Drosophila melanogaster: one gene and its partners. The protein of the gene in region 1 interacts with the protein of each later gene in a pairwise test. Each region holds a gene or a part of one and is shown on either strand. Other genes may lie near its edges.

Region 1 (3,533 bases):
CTATCAAGGTGTTGGTCTTACAATATCTCGCCGTGATGATGCCAGAAACTTCTTCCTTTCTGATTTAATGCAACGCCAAAACAAATTGTTATATTGGAGCCGCTTGCCTCCAGCAATTAATCAAAGCTCTCGCACTACAATTAATCAAAAATCGCCATCTTTCTTCGTTGAATTTCAAAAGGAGCTTGGCTTTTGCTCCTGGCCATAAATATTATTGCCAGTGGTGATATAAGAAATCGACCAAATAGAATTGGCGGCGTTAAAACGCTCACCTTAGATGTGACATCGTTTCGTTGACATATTCGCGTTGCTCTCATAAATCAGATATTTATATGGAGTGGGAAGTTGGGGGACTCAAAACCAAAACCATGGGCGGCTTTCGTCCTTTCATCGTCCGGAGATCGGTAATCTCTGGATGGCAATTTGATGGCCATGAACAGTTGACAGTTGACTTTTTATTTATTCAGCAGCAACATTTAATTCAATGGCACCTAGGCGTAGGCTCTACAGTTCTAAGCTCCCAATTTTGAAGACCCTAATAAACATGAGTACATACTTTGTACATACTTTTCATTTATCGGCTAGAATACCTGTACGATCAACATTGGTACTGAAATGTACGGAAGCTGTCCTGTAATCGAGGCCTTACTGTGTCGCAAGCATGCCGCTTTAAGAAGTGTGGAATAAATGAAACAACGTCAAGTAATCGGCAGACCGAGTCAATATTAATGACGACTTCATCTTTATTCGGTTGATACGCCATATATTCAGATCTCAGTTCTTCCCCCCTTAAGTTTATCCCGTCACGATTTTTCGGTTTTCTGTCGCAGGGTCTTAGTAACATTTATTGTACTATTTAGTCGTTATCAAGCAGAAAAGCTCAAGAAGAGCACTTGTGGCGCTAAGCGATATTCAAAGCAAAAAATAATAATAAAATTGCAAATTCATAAACCTGGTTGACACTGAATACCTTGTCTCAATGCTTCGCGGCAAATTTATATTACATCAACACGGATTTTGCAAGGTCGACCGGATATGTTTGATTTTATTAGCCTCTGGACATCTGGTATGTCTGTGCTTAGATGCCCTGTGATGTCCTTTTCACATGTAATGCTATGCAATCCCCCGGGGCTACAGCAACGAAGTGTTAAACGAGGCTCAGTGTGAGTTAGTGCCAATACAAATCTATTTCGGCACGGTTTCCTAGCGTGCAACCAGAATTCTGACAATGGTTTTAAGAAATAATGGGGACCTCCTAAATGCTTTCAAAATGCTTTCGGCTGAGAGGAACAACAACTGATACGTTGGGCATAAAGGCCCCGGGGCATTAGAAGTGTTAATAGAAAAGTGCCTCCGGCTGATCAGGTTTCGTTGCAGGACCGAATGGATCGCCGCCTGAGGTGTTGATGAGCTGGCCTTGAAAATTCCTACGACTTTGGATTCGAGCGACAATGGTCTAGTGTTTAAGATAATGTCCGAATGATCCAGGGATCGGAAGGTCATCAGTACATAAAATAAATTAAATTAAATGTATTAACATAAAATTAAAGATTTTTTAAAAGTCTAAAATACCTAGCCTTGTTAATTAAAGATTATTTTTTCGTAAACACTTTTGGTAGTGTATAAATTGTAAATGTCCCCATTTTTATAATTGTAATGACAGTCTATTCCACTAATTTTGTTGTATTTTGTTAGTTATACAAATTGGATGGCCACTTTCAATAGGAGATACAGCTTTTTACTTCGGAGGTGTTTTTACTTGGCTCTGATGTCTGGACCTTGTTGCCTTTTTAAACCGGTTGGCAGCCGGCACGCGACAGGGCCAGGTTTTCGTTTGGGGACGACAGGCAGCTGAAAATGAGCAAAAACACTCAGAAACTCTTCCCACTCGACAACGGGAACACTCAGGTCACCAACAGCTGCGTTTTACAGAGAGAACGAGAGATAATATTACTACCTCTCTATTAAAATCAGAGAAAACACTCATCTCAAGAGACGATCCTTCAGTGATGATGCTGTTGCACCTTTTCCAGGGGCAGGTAGGTAGTCACGCAGGTGGGATCCCTAGGCCCTGATACCTATAAATAGCCTGAACGGAACGGGGAAGGGCATCAGAACAGAGCCAGCGCTGAAGCAAGGAGCATCGTCACACAATAACGTTATACTATCTCTTAAAATGGCTTTGGGCAGCGAAAATCACTCTGTTTTCAACGACGACGAGGAGTCATCTTCGGCCTTTAATGGACCCTCTGTTATCCGGAGAAATGCCCGGGAACGCAACCGCGTAAAGCAGGTCAACAATGGCTTCAGCCAACTACGACAACATATCCCTGCGGCCGTAATAGCCGATTTAAGCAATGGTCGCCGGGGAATTGGTCCCGGCGCCAATAAAAAACTGAGCAAAGTTAGCACACTGAAAATGGCAGTAGAGTACATACGGCGCTTGCAGAAAGTTCTTCATGAAAACGACCAGCAGAAACAGAAACAGTTGCATTTGCAGCAGCAACATTTGCACTTTCAGCAGCAGCAACAGCATCAACACTTATACGCCTGGCACCAAGAGTTGCAGTTGCAATCTCCAACTGGCAGCACAAGTTCCTGCAACAGCATTAGCTCTTATTGCAAGCCAGCAACATCGACGATTCCGGGAGCAACACCTCCTAACAATTTTCATACCAAGTTGGAAGCCAGTTTTGAAGACTACCGTAACAATTCCTGCAGTTCTGGTACTGAAGATGAGGACATCCTCGACTATATATCACTCTGGCAGGACGACCTGTAAAAAAACAGATCAAATCTTCAGCTATTGCTAGTCGCACCCAACCATAACACACATCAAACCATTGATTGGCCAACAAGTATTACCTCAGCCACAAAGTATTTATATTCCCTAGAACTACCTTTTTGCCTTATAAATTAGTATTTAAGGTTTTATATAGTTTCTAAGGATAGTTTCTAATGGAAGACAATTTATATTTAAGTTTTTTTTTATAGCATACATTGAGGACATTAAACTGATATATATAAAATTTTAAATGAGTTTTTATTGTAAACAAAATTAAACGGTAATTAAAGTGAAACAAATTTATGTACAAAAGGAGTAAAATTCAGAAAAGTTTTAATGAACAAATGCTTTATGAATATGGGCGTAGCAATGTTTTGATACAAACTTGATCCTGTCCTGTATACCACAGGACACGCTTCCTTTTACCTGGTACATTCCTTTAAACGATCCTAGTATACGCTTTATTCGGGGTAAGCCCGAAAAAAGTATTCGAAACTGTAACCGTTAAGTATTTACAGATCACTAGCCAATGAAGATAAATTACAATAACATTTTGTAAACACTTTTGATCGAAAACGCCGATTTGCATAAATAAAGTTGGATTGAGTAGGGTGAAAAAGGCAAAATATTTACCTGCTGCATTTTTGCATATGAACCGGTCAAGGTAATAAGATCCTGAGAATTCACAATTCCGGAGAGATCGATCGATCGATCGATGAATGAACTAATTTTGAGTTATTCCCGCAAT
Region 2 (3,758 bases), on another chromosome or scaffold:
GGAAACTTGCAAATAGACCGTAGTAATTAAAGGCACGAAAGCCGAAGAGCAATAAACACAAGCTTTTCGAGCCCAGTCATGTCTCCCATTCAGCCATAGCGAACCAATTCAAAACCATTTCTAACGCAGACGATAACCAGAGAGAGACGTGTCGTTTTTCACAAACAACGACGCGCCCGCTCATTTTCAATGAAAATTTCCACAATTTCCTCAATGGATCGTCGTCGACCCATCATGTGTGTGAAATACAATCGTGGATTTCTTGCCCAGAAACCCTGCAACTTCTTCGGTGCAATGGAGTGGGAGAGAAGTCGAGGCGCCTCGAACTCTTATGTGTGTTCAAGATGTCGTGGACTCAAATTAAGATAAGATGCAGATAAGCCGTGCATTTCGATTTAGCCGTTTGAAAACTCGTTAATAAGAATTTGGTCAATCCACTGATAACGACTAGTTTTCCATTGAACGGAGGCGCATAACGCTTATCTTTGTTAGGAATAAATATGACAAATTGAACGACTACCGTTTAATCGTTTGTCTATATACGAAAACTTAACAGGATTGTTCGAGCTATCAGTTTATTTGAATAGTTATTGTTAATGAAAACTACTACTAACTAGCCCAATATAATATATTATGAATATTTACTCTTCTTATTTTCAAATGATTTAAAATTTTCACCATTCCACAGCGATTAAAATCTAATTTACCCATGCATATATTTAATATTCATTCTGTAATTAATCAAGCCCTTGTTGAACCACTCGCATTGTCTTTTTCGCCTTTTCGTGTTGATTGTGGAACCTCCTTATCCCACAAAACACTTTTCATTCATTTTCATGCTCATTCACAAAACATGAGAAAAAAAAAAGAAAAACAAACATTGCAGTCGTGAGAGGAAAATTATTGAGCGAGAGTTACTGTTCGTGTTTTCTCATTTTCAGCTGAGAAAAGCAGCCGACCAATCACAAAACCATTTCCCCTTTACAAAAAACCGATCATTTTGCATCTCGTGGAGAGTATTCAGATTTGTTTGGAGAGTTTCGGAGAGGAACTCGTTAAGCCGGGTCTACAAAGGTGAGTATCTGTGGACCGTGGTGGAGTCAGGGGAAATGTTAGTGCTTTAAAAAGTGTCTACTATGTGTGGAATTTGGATTGTATCTTGTGGATTGGATATTGTGGTAAGGTTGAGTTTCATTTGGTATCTCGGGTAGAAGTCAATGAGGTGGATGTTCGGGCACACAGGCTGTAGAACTTGTTGGATATTTTGTCAAGAACTGAAAGTATCCGAAAGGATTAATTCATAGCATATATACCTCAGTTGTATTTTGAATTATTTTAAATTAGTTTTCTCAGAATTCATGGGCTTCACACTACACATCTTCCCCTCTTAAGATCTCAGGCTTAAATTCGTACTCCATTCTCATTGTGGATTTGAAATGATGACTGTGAAGACCAAACACGAAGGGCTACCCCTTAATTCCACATTCTTGTCCACCAAAGCAGACCTCTCCGCAACTCACCTCTTAGGAACTCTCCTAAATTCCGGTTTCAAGTTGTGGTCCAAGTTCCACATGGACACCAATGAGACACATTCCCCAGTCTCCACTCTCCAACCAAGTACATATCTCTCTCCAGCCGAACGAACCCGAGAGCGAAGACTCCGCCTATCGGATTCGGAAATGCCCGTTCGGGGGGTATAAAAGCGGGCGCTCTGAGCGAGCACCACTCATTCGTTGTCTGACCGCTCGCAGCAAAAGATATAGAAATCGAGAACGTAAACGCAGAAAACACGCTGGATTAAAGTGTTTCGTTTCGAACATCGACAGAGTGAGAAAACAAAGTGAAGTGAGCGCACAAAGCCGAAATCAAATCAAATTGAAAAGCCAGTCAAGAGCAATCTTTAACTGAACCTCGCAAGTAATCCGGTACGACCGTGTAACAACCGCCAAGATTCTACTCAAGGAGCGTAAAGCAATCATCTCCAGAATGAAGTCCCTGACGGCCGTCTGCCAGACAGGTGCCTCCGGAATGCCGGCCTTGAATGCCAGCGGGCGCATCCAGCGCCATCCCACGCACCGCGGCGACGGGGAGAACGCCGAGATGAAGATGTATCTGTCCAAACTGAAGGACCTCGTTCCGTTCATGCCCAAGAACAGGAAGCTCACCAAGCTGGAGATCATCCAGCACGTCATCGACTACATCTGCGACCTGCAGACCGAGCTGGAGACGCACCCCGAGATGGGCAACTTCGATGCGGCAGCCGCTCTGACGGCGGTGAACGGACTCCACGAGGACGAGGACAGCGACATGGAGGATGCGGATGCCGAGGCAGAAGCGGAAGTCGATCCAGATATCCTCGCCCAGCGCCTGAATGCCGAGCAGCCGGCGAAAGTCTCTAGTCCCGCCGCCCGTCTCCCGCTTACCGATCGCCAAACGCCCAACACTCTTGTGGCGCCCGCCCATCCGCAGCAGCATCAGCAGCAGCAGCAACTGCAACTGCAGCAGCAACAACTGCAATCACAGCAGCAACTGTCCAACAGTTTAGCAACGGTGAGTTAACAAACAAATTGCTAGGGTAGTGAAAAACCCAAATAGGAAGTGGGCAGATGAGCACAGCTCAGGTCGAAATATTAGGAGAAATAATAAGGTTATGGAATATTTAAAGTAGTTATTTTTGAGAAAATAACATAGTTAAACATTTAAAGTACATGACTTCACTGGTTTCAACTAGACAATAAAGCGATTAATTGCTAAAGTTACGATAAGGAAGTGCGAATATCGCAAAGTTTGCGATCCACCGATTTTCGCTATTTCCTTGAGTGCCATTATTTTGACCGCAGCTGTTTGGCATTTGCATTGCAAATTTAGGAGACAATTGAGTGTCAAACTGTTTGGCTTTACTTGTTTTTGTTTCGCGAGTGACCTCATTCATAAGGCGATTGACGAATGTTTGCGTGAATGTTGTTTTTTTTCATTTTGTTTTATTTTTTTTTAACGGAAGGACGAGGCGCGTTTCGTTTCGTTGGCGAGTTTTGGGAAATTTCTTTATTGGGCGGGTGGCTTTAGACAACGCGGCCTGCCCGATTTTGTCGTACCCTCTTCTTCGCCGCACAGATTCATTTCGTTTTTATAGACATTTCACAGACCGTCTCTGTGCGATTGTATGCGTTGCGGTTGTTGTCGCCATCGTTTCTTTCTTTTGTGTGTTGCCTATACGTAGCTGTTAATTTTTTCTCGCGGCCTTTTTCTGTTGTTGTGATGTTTTAAATGAACACCTGCAGATACTTAAATTTATTTCACACACACTCGCACACACACATACTCACTCACTCACACGCACTTGCGAGCTTGAAAACGGAATTTGGAATTGGGGAATCATCAGTCTTCGTATTTTATTTCATTTGGGTTTATTTTTTGGCTCACTTCATTAGCTCTCAGCTTCGTTACTTCTTCGTTTTTGGACTTTCGGTTATTAATGATGCTGGCGAAAAAATTCGTTTGAGATCTACAATATGTTCGTAAAAACAGGTTCGAAAAAGCTTTTTTTTCAATGGGTTTCTCAAACAAATGATCGACTGGGTGGCCCGGCAAGTGTTATTAATTTTCGATCTCTGATTGTTGATTAATTGTGAAGGTGGAAACCCTTCTTCGAAATTCAGAAAGATGGTTTTGAAATCGTGCCTTCGTCATTCCTGGCTATGAGTTACTTCTTAAATTTTTGATTAATTAACTGTGGGTCTTTAGCTCAGTCCGCTTTG
Region 3 (3,528 bases), on another chromosome or scaffold:
ATTACGAAAGGCGACAAATGCCGAAGGGTTGGTAATCGGACTATGCAAAAAGAGTTTTATTTCTTTCATTTTGGAACCCCCAATGCGCCGAGATAGCGAAACTGTTACACTTAATCGATACGCTTCAACGAAAAGTCAACCCACAGCCCCAGCCATAGTGGTGGTTGTGCACTGTGAGAAATATTTGAAAACTTAAAAAAAAAAACTGATTACATTTGAATTCGGTTATAAGTAAAATATCAAAATATATATATTTTCCATTCTTCCGAAATGGGGTGATCTATATTTATTGGTAATTAACATAGTTGCTGTTATTGAAATTGTTTCAAATCTACTTTAAACTCCCAAAAAGACCGCACATTTTGTCCACGTGCAGTTGTCGCAGTCATCATCATCAGCCAAGCATGCGACATAATTGCGCGAGTTAAGGCTGCCCCTCCACCCAGCCATCCCTCACCAGTTCGCCCACTGCCCCCCATTGGCGGCTGACAGTCAACCCGCTTGAAATCAACCAGCAGCAACAGCAACAACATTTCAGCAATCCATCGGATCGCATCACAATCCAGCCATCCGTCCAACGTGTGGGAAACACACGACAAATCTGTTTCCCACGGTCTCGTAAAGTAGGCACACCGCACACACACACAAACACCCATCCCCATCCACTGAGCCATGGGACCCACAATCACATAGGCTACTGCCTCGTAGGCTCCCTCGTGTCTCATTCTCATTGTTGGTGTGAGCGGTACGGAGCAGCGGACTTCGACAGCGAATGGGAGCCGAGCACTGTCATCATTGACAATAAGTATGACATGGATGAGGGGGGATGGAGGGCGGGGTGGAGCGGCCTGAGAGACACGCGCAGTCGCCGAGAATGAGATCCAATCCGAAAGCCGACTGTCGACTGCCGACTGCTCAGTTTCCCTCTGGCCATGCAATCAATTGAAGACGACGCGCGCCAGAGCACCAAAGCTGCAGATACAGATACATTTGTATCTGCGGCGGGGCACGCTCTCGCTCGCTCCCATTGCATGCACCTTGGTTCGAAGTCGACTAGTTTCGGTTAATAATACTAATTTTGGACTAATAGTATTACTTTCAATAAGCAGATTTTACGAAAATAATTGCAGTTTTATTAACTTTGTAAGTGATTAATATTTTTTGAAATTGCTTTCTTTCAGGTCTTAAAATTTAGCAAATTTTTAAATCGTCCTTTTGGTTGAACAATTATGTTGCATACTTTTGAGAGTCATATAAAAAATAGTTGTAGCAAAATATAAAGAACACAAATTTAACACTATTGGAAATGAAAAATATTGATATTATATTCGCATTGCTAAAATGGATTATTTCTTATTTTTTATAATAAGCATAATTAAGAAGGTAAAGAGTTCCATGGTGATGGTCCCACTGTACCCCCTGCAGACGGTACAACCCCCATCATCGATGGCCTACAGTAGCCTCTCTTTGTGCCGCTGCCGAGCGCCGCTACCGATCCGCGACCGAAAAGAACCGAAGTGGAACTCGATCTTGGGCCCGAGTGCCTGGGAGCGTGTGTGAGTGATCATGCGGGAGCTTTGTGGCCGGGAGAGCCTGATCCCCGTTTGCCGGGAGAGCGTGGCTGTCATATAAAAGTAGGGCTGGGAACTAGTTTGCCACTCATTTCGTAAAAGTGCCGCCACTCGAACGCACCGCAATCGGTGGAACGCGCAACGCACGCGCAACAAACTCGTCAAAAAGTAACCAATCTATGAAACCAACCAAAATCAGTAGTGATAATGTGCAGTTGAGAGACTAAATACAAAAGAACAATCCTTAAAATACACAACATAAAACAACCCAATCGATCATGGTCATGGAGATGTCCAAGACGTATCAGTACCGCAAGGTGATGAAGCCGCTGCTGGAGCGCAAACGGCGAGCCAGGATCAACAAGTGTCTGGACGATCTCAAGGATCTGATGGTGGAGTGCCTGCAGCAGGAGGGCGAGCACGTCACCCGGCTGGAGAAGGCGGATATCCTGGAGTTGACCGTGGATCACATGAGGAAACTCAAGCAGCGGGGTGGTCTTTCGCTGCAGGGAGTAGTGGCTGGTGTTGGCAGCCCACCCACCTCAACCAGTACCGCCCACGTGGAGTCCTTTCGCTCCGGCTATGTGCATGCTGCCGATCAGATTACCCAGGTCCTGCTGCAGACACAGCAAACCGATGAGATTGGGCGCAAGATAATGAAATTCCTATCGACGCGACTAATTGAGCTGCAGACGCAGTTGCTCCAGCAGCAGCAGCAACAGCAACAACACCAGCAGCAGCAAATACCGCAATCATCAGGCCGCCTAGCCTTCCCGCTGCTGGGAGGATATGGACCGGCAGCCGCCGCTGCCGCCATTAGTTACAGCTCCTTCCTGACCAGCAAGGACGAACTGATCGATGTGACATCCGTCGATGGCAATGCGTTATCCGAGACGGCGTCGGTTAGCTCGCAGGAGTCCGGCGCCTCTGAGCCCGTCTGGAGGCCCTGGTAATTGGGCGTGCCCAATATGGATCTTATCCCTAATATTATAATCGCAACCCAAAAAAATGGCTATTGACCGTTCTGCAACAAGATCCGTTGTCTTCCAAAGTAAATCATATCAACCTAAGTTAATTGAGGTCTAATCGATTTCTGAATGGTTTTGAAATACTTTTAGTTTTAGTTCCGATAATGGTAATTTGTAAATTAATTGTTTAATTTCAACTGTGATATAACTAAAGTACGTTGATCAATCAATCAGTGAATATATATTCGAGTGCGCTATTTTCCTACTCCAAAAGTTCCCTAAGTTTAATATCTCGTTGCGCTCTCTTTATTGTTTAGCATATATTAAGCTTTAAATAATTTATAAATGTTAATTTATGATTAGTTGAGAAAGAATAATCAAAAATACACTACCCAAATAAAATAAATGATTTAAATTGAAAACACAATGTTTTTCTTTTGCGGGATTTCAAAATTTTATAAAATATTTATTTTGTTATATTAATAAATATAAACAAACTGAACGATATTATGCAAACCTAACGGAATACTGTTCATTCTTGTCCCAGTCCGCCAATGTTGTTTACTGCCCCAATAAATTACCTTTAATTGAACATCACCTCAAATGTATGCAACACATTTTCGACTCGACCCTGATTCATTCCCATAAGCAGATCATCTAATTGGAGCCTGTTCTTACCACCAATCTGATCGGCAATCAACAGATCCTCTCTACCTGCCCGATAACTGGTTGGCATTGTGGTCCAAATCAACAGGCCAAACAACAACCGTCAATATGCACTACCTGCTGGCAGGTAAATTGATCAACAATAAGACCAAAAAAGGTTCAGGATCGAATCGGATTAGGGTCCGCTCGTTTTTCAAATGAGTCATGCCAATTAAGAAAGGACTTCGCTCCCCATTTATTTTCTGTGTTGATTTGTAAACGGAAAATTGTTGGAACAATAAGGGGGAAACAAAGAATTTAGATTCCTATTCAATTATTTTTTT

Evidence for each region.
Region 2: the proteins of ac (region 1) and emc interact in a two-hybrid assay, tested with the Drosophila melanogaster proteins (2 studies listed by BioGRID).
Region 3: the proteins of ac (region 1) and E(spl)m3-HLH interact in a two-hybrid assay, tested with the Drosophila melanogaster proteins (2 studies listed by BioGRID).

The regions. Positions count from the first base shown.
Region 1 is NC_004354.4:367,918-371,450, forward strand, and holds ac (achaete), read left to right. Parts: upstream 1-2,113; 5' UTR 2,114-2,176; coding exon 2,177-2,782; 3' UTR 2,783-3,030; downstream 3,031-3,533. UniProt on the Drosophila melanogaster protein: AS-C proteins are involved in the determination of the neuronal precursors in the peripheral nervous system and the central nervous system.
Region 2 is NT_037436.4:747,678-751,435, forward strand, and holds the start of emc (extra macrochaetae), read left to right. Parts: upstream 1-1,722; 5' UTR 1,723-1,986; coding exon 1,987-2,550; intron 2,551-3,758. UniProt on the Drosophila melanogaster protein: Participates in sensory organ patterning by antagonizing the neurogenic activity of the Achaete-scute complex (AS-C). It lacks a basic DNA-binding domain but is able to form heterodimers with other HLH proteins, thereby inhibiting DNA binding.
Region 3 is NT_033777.3:26,020,171-26,023,698, forward strand, and holds E(spl)m3-HLH (enhancer of split m3, helix-loop-helix), read left to right. Parts: upstream 1-1,652; 5' UTR 1,653-1,849; coding exon 1,850-2,524; 3' UTR 2,525-2,957; downstream 2,958-3,528.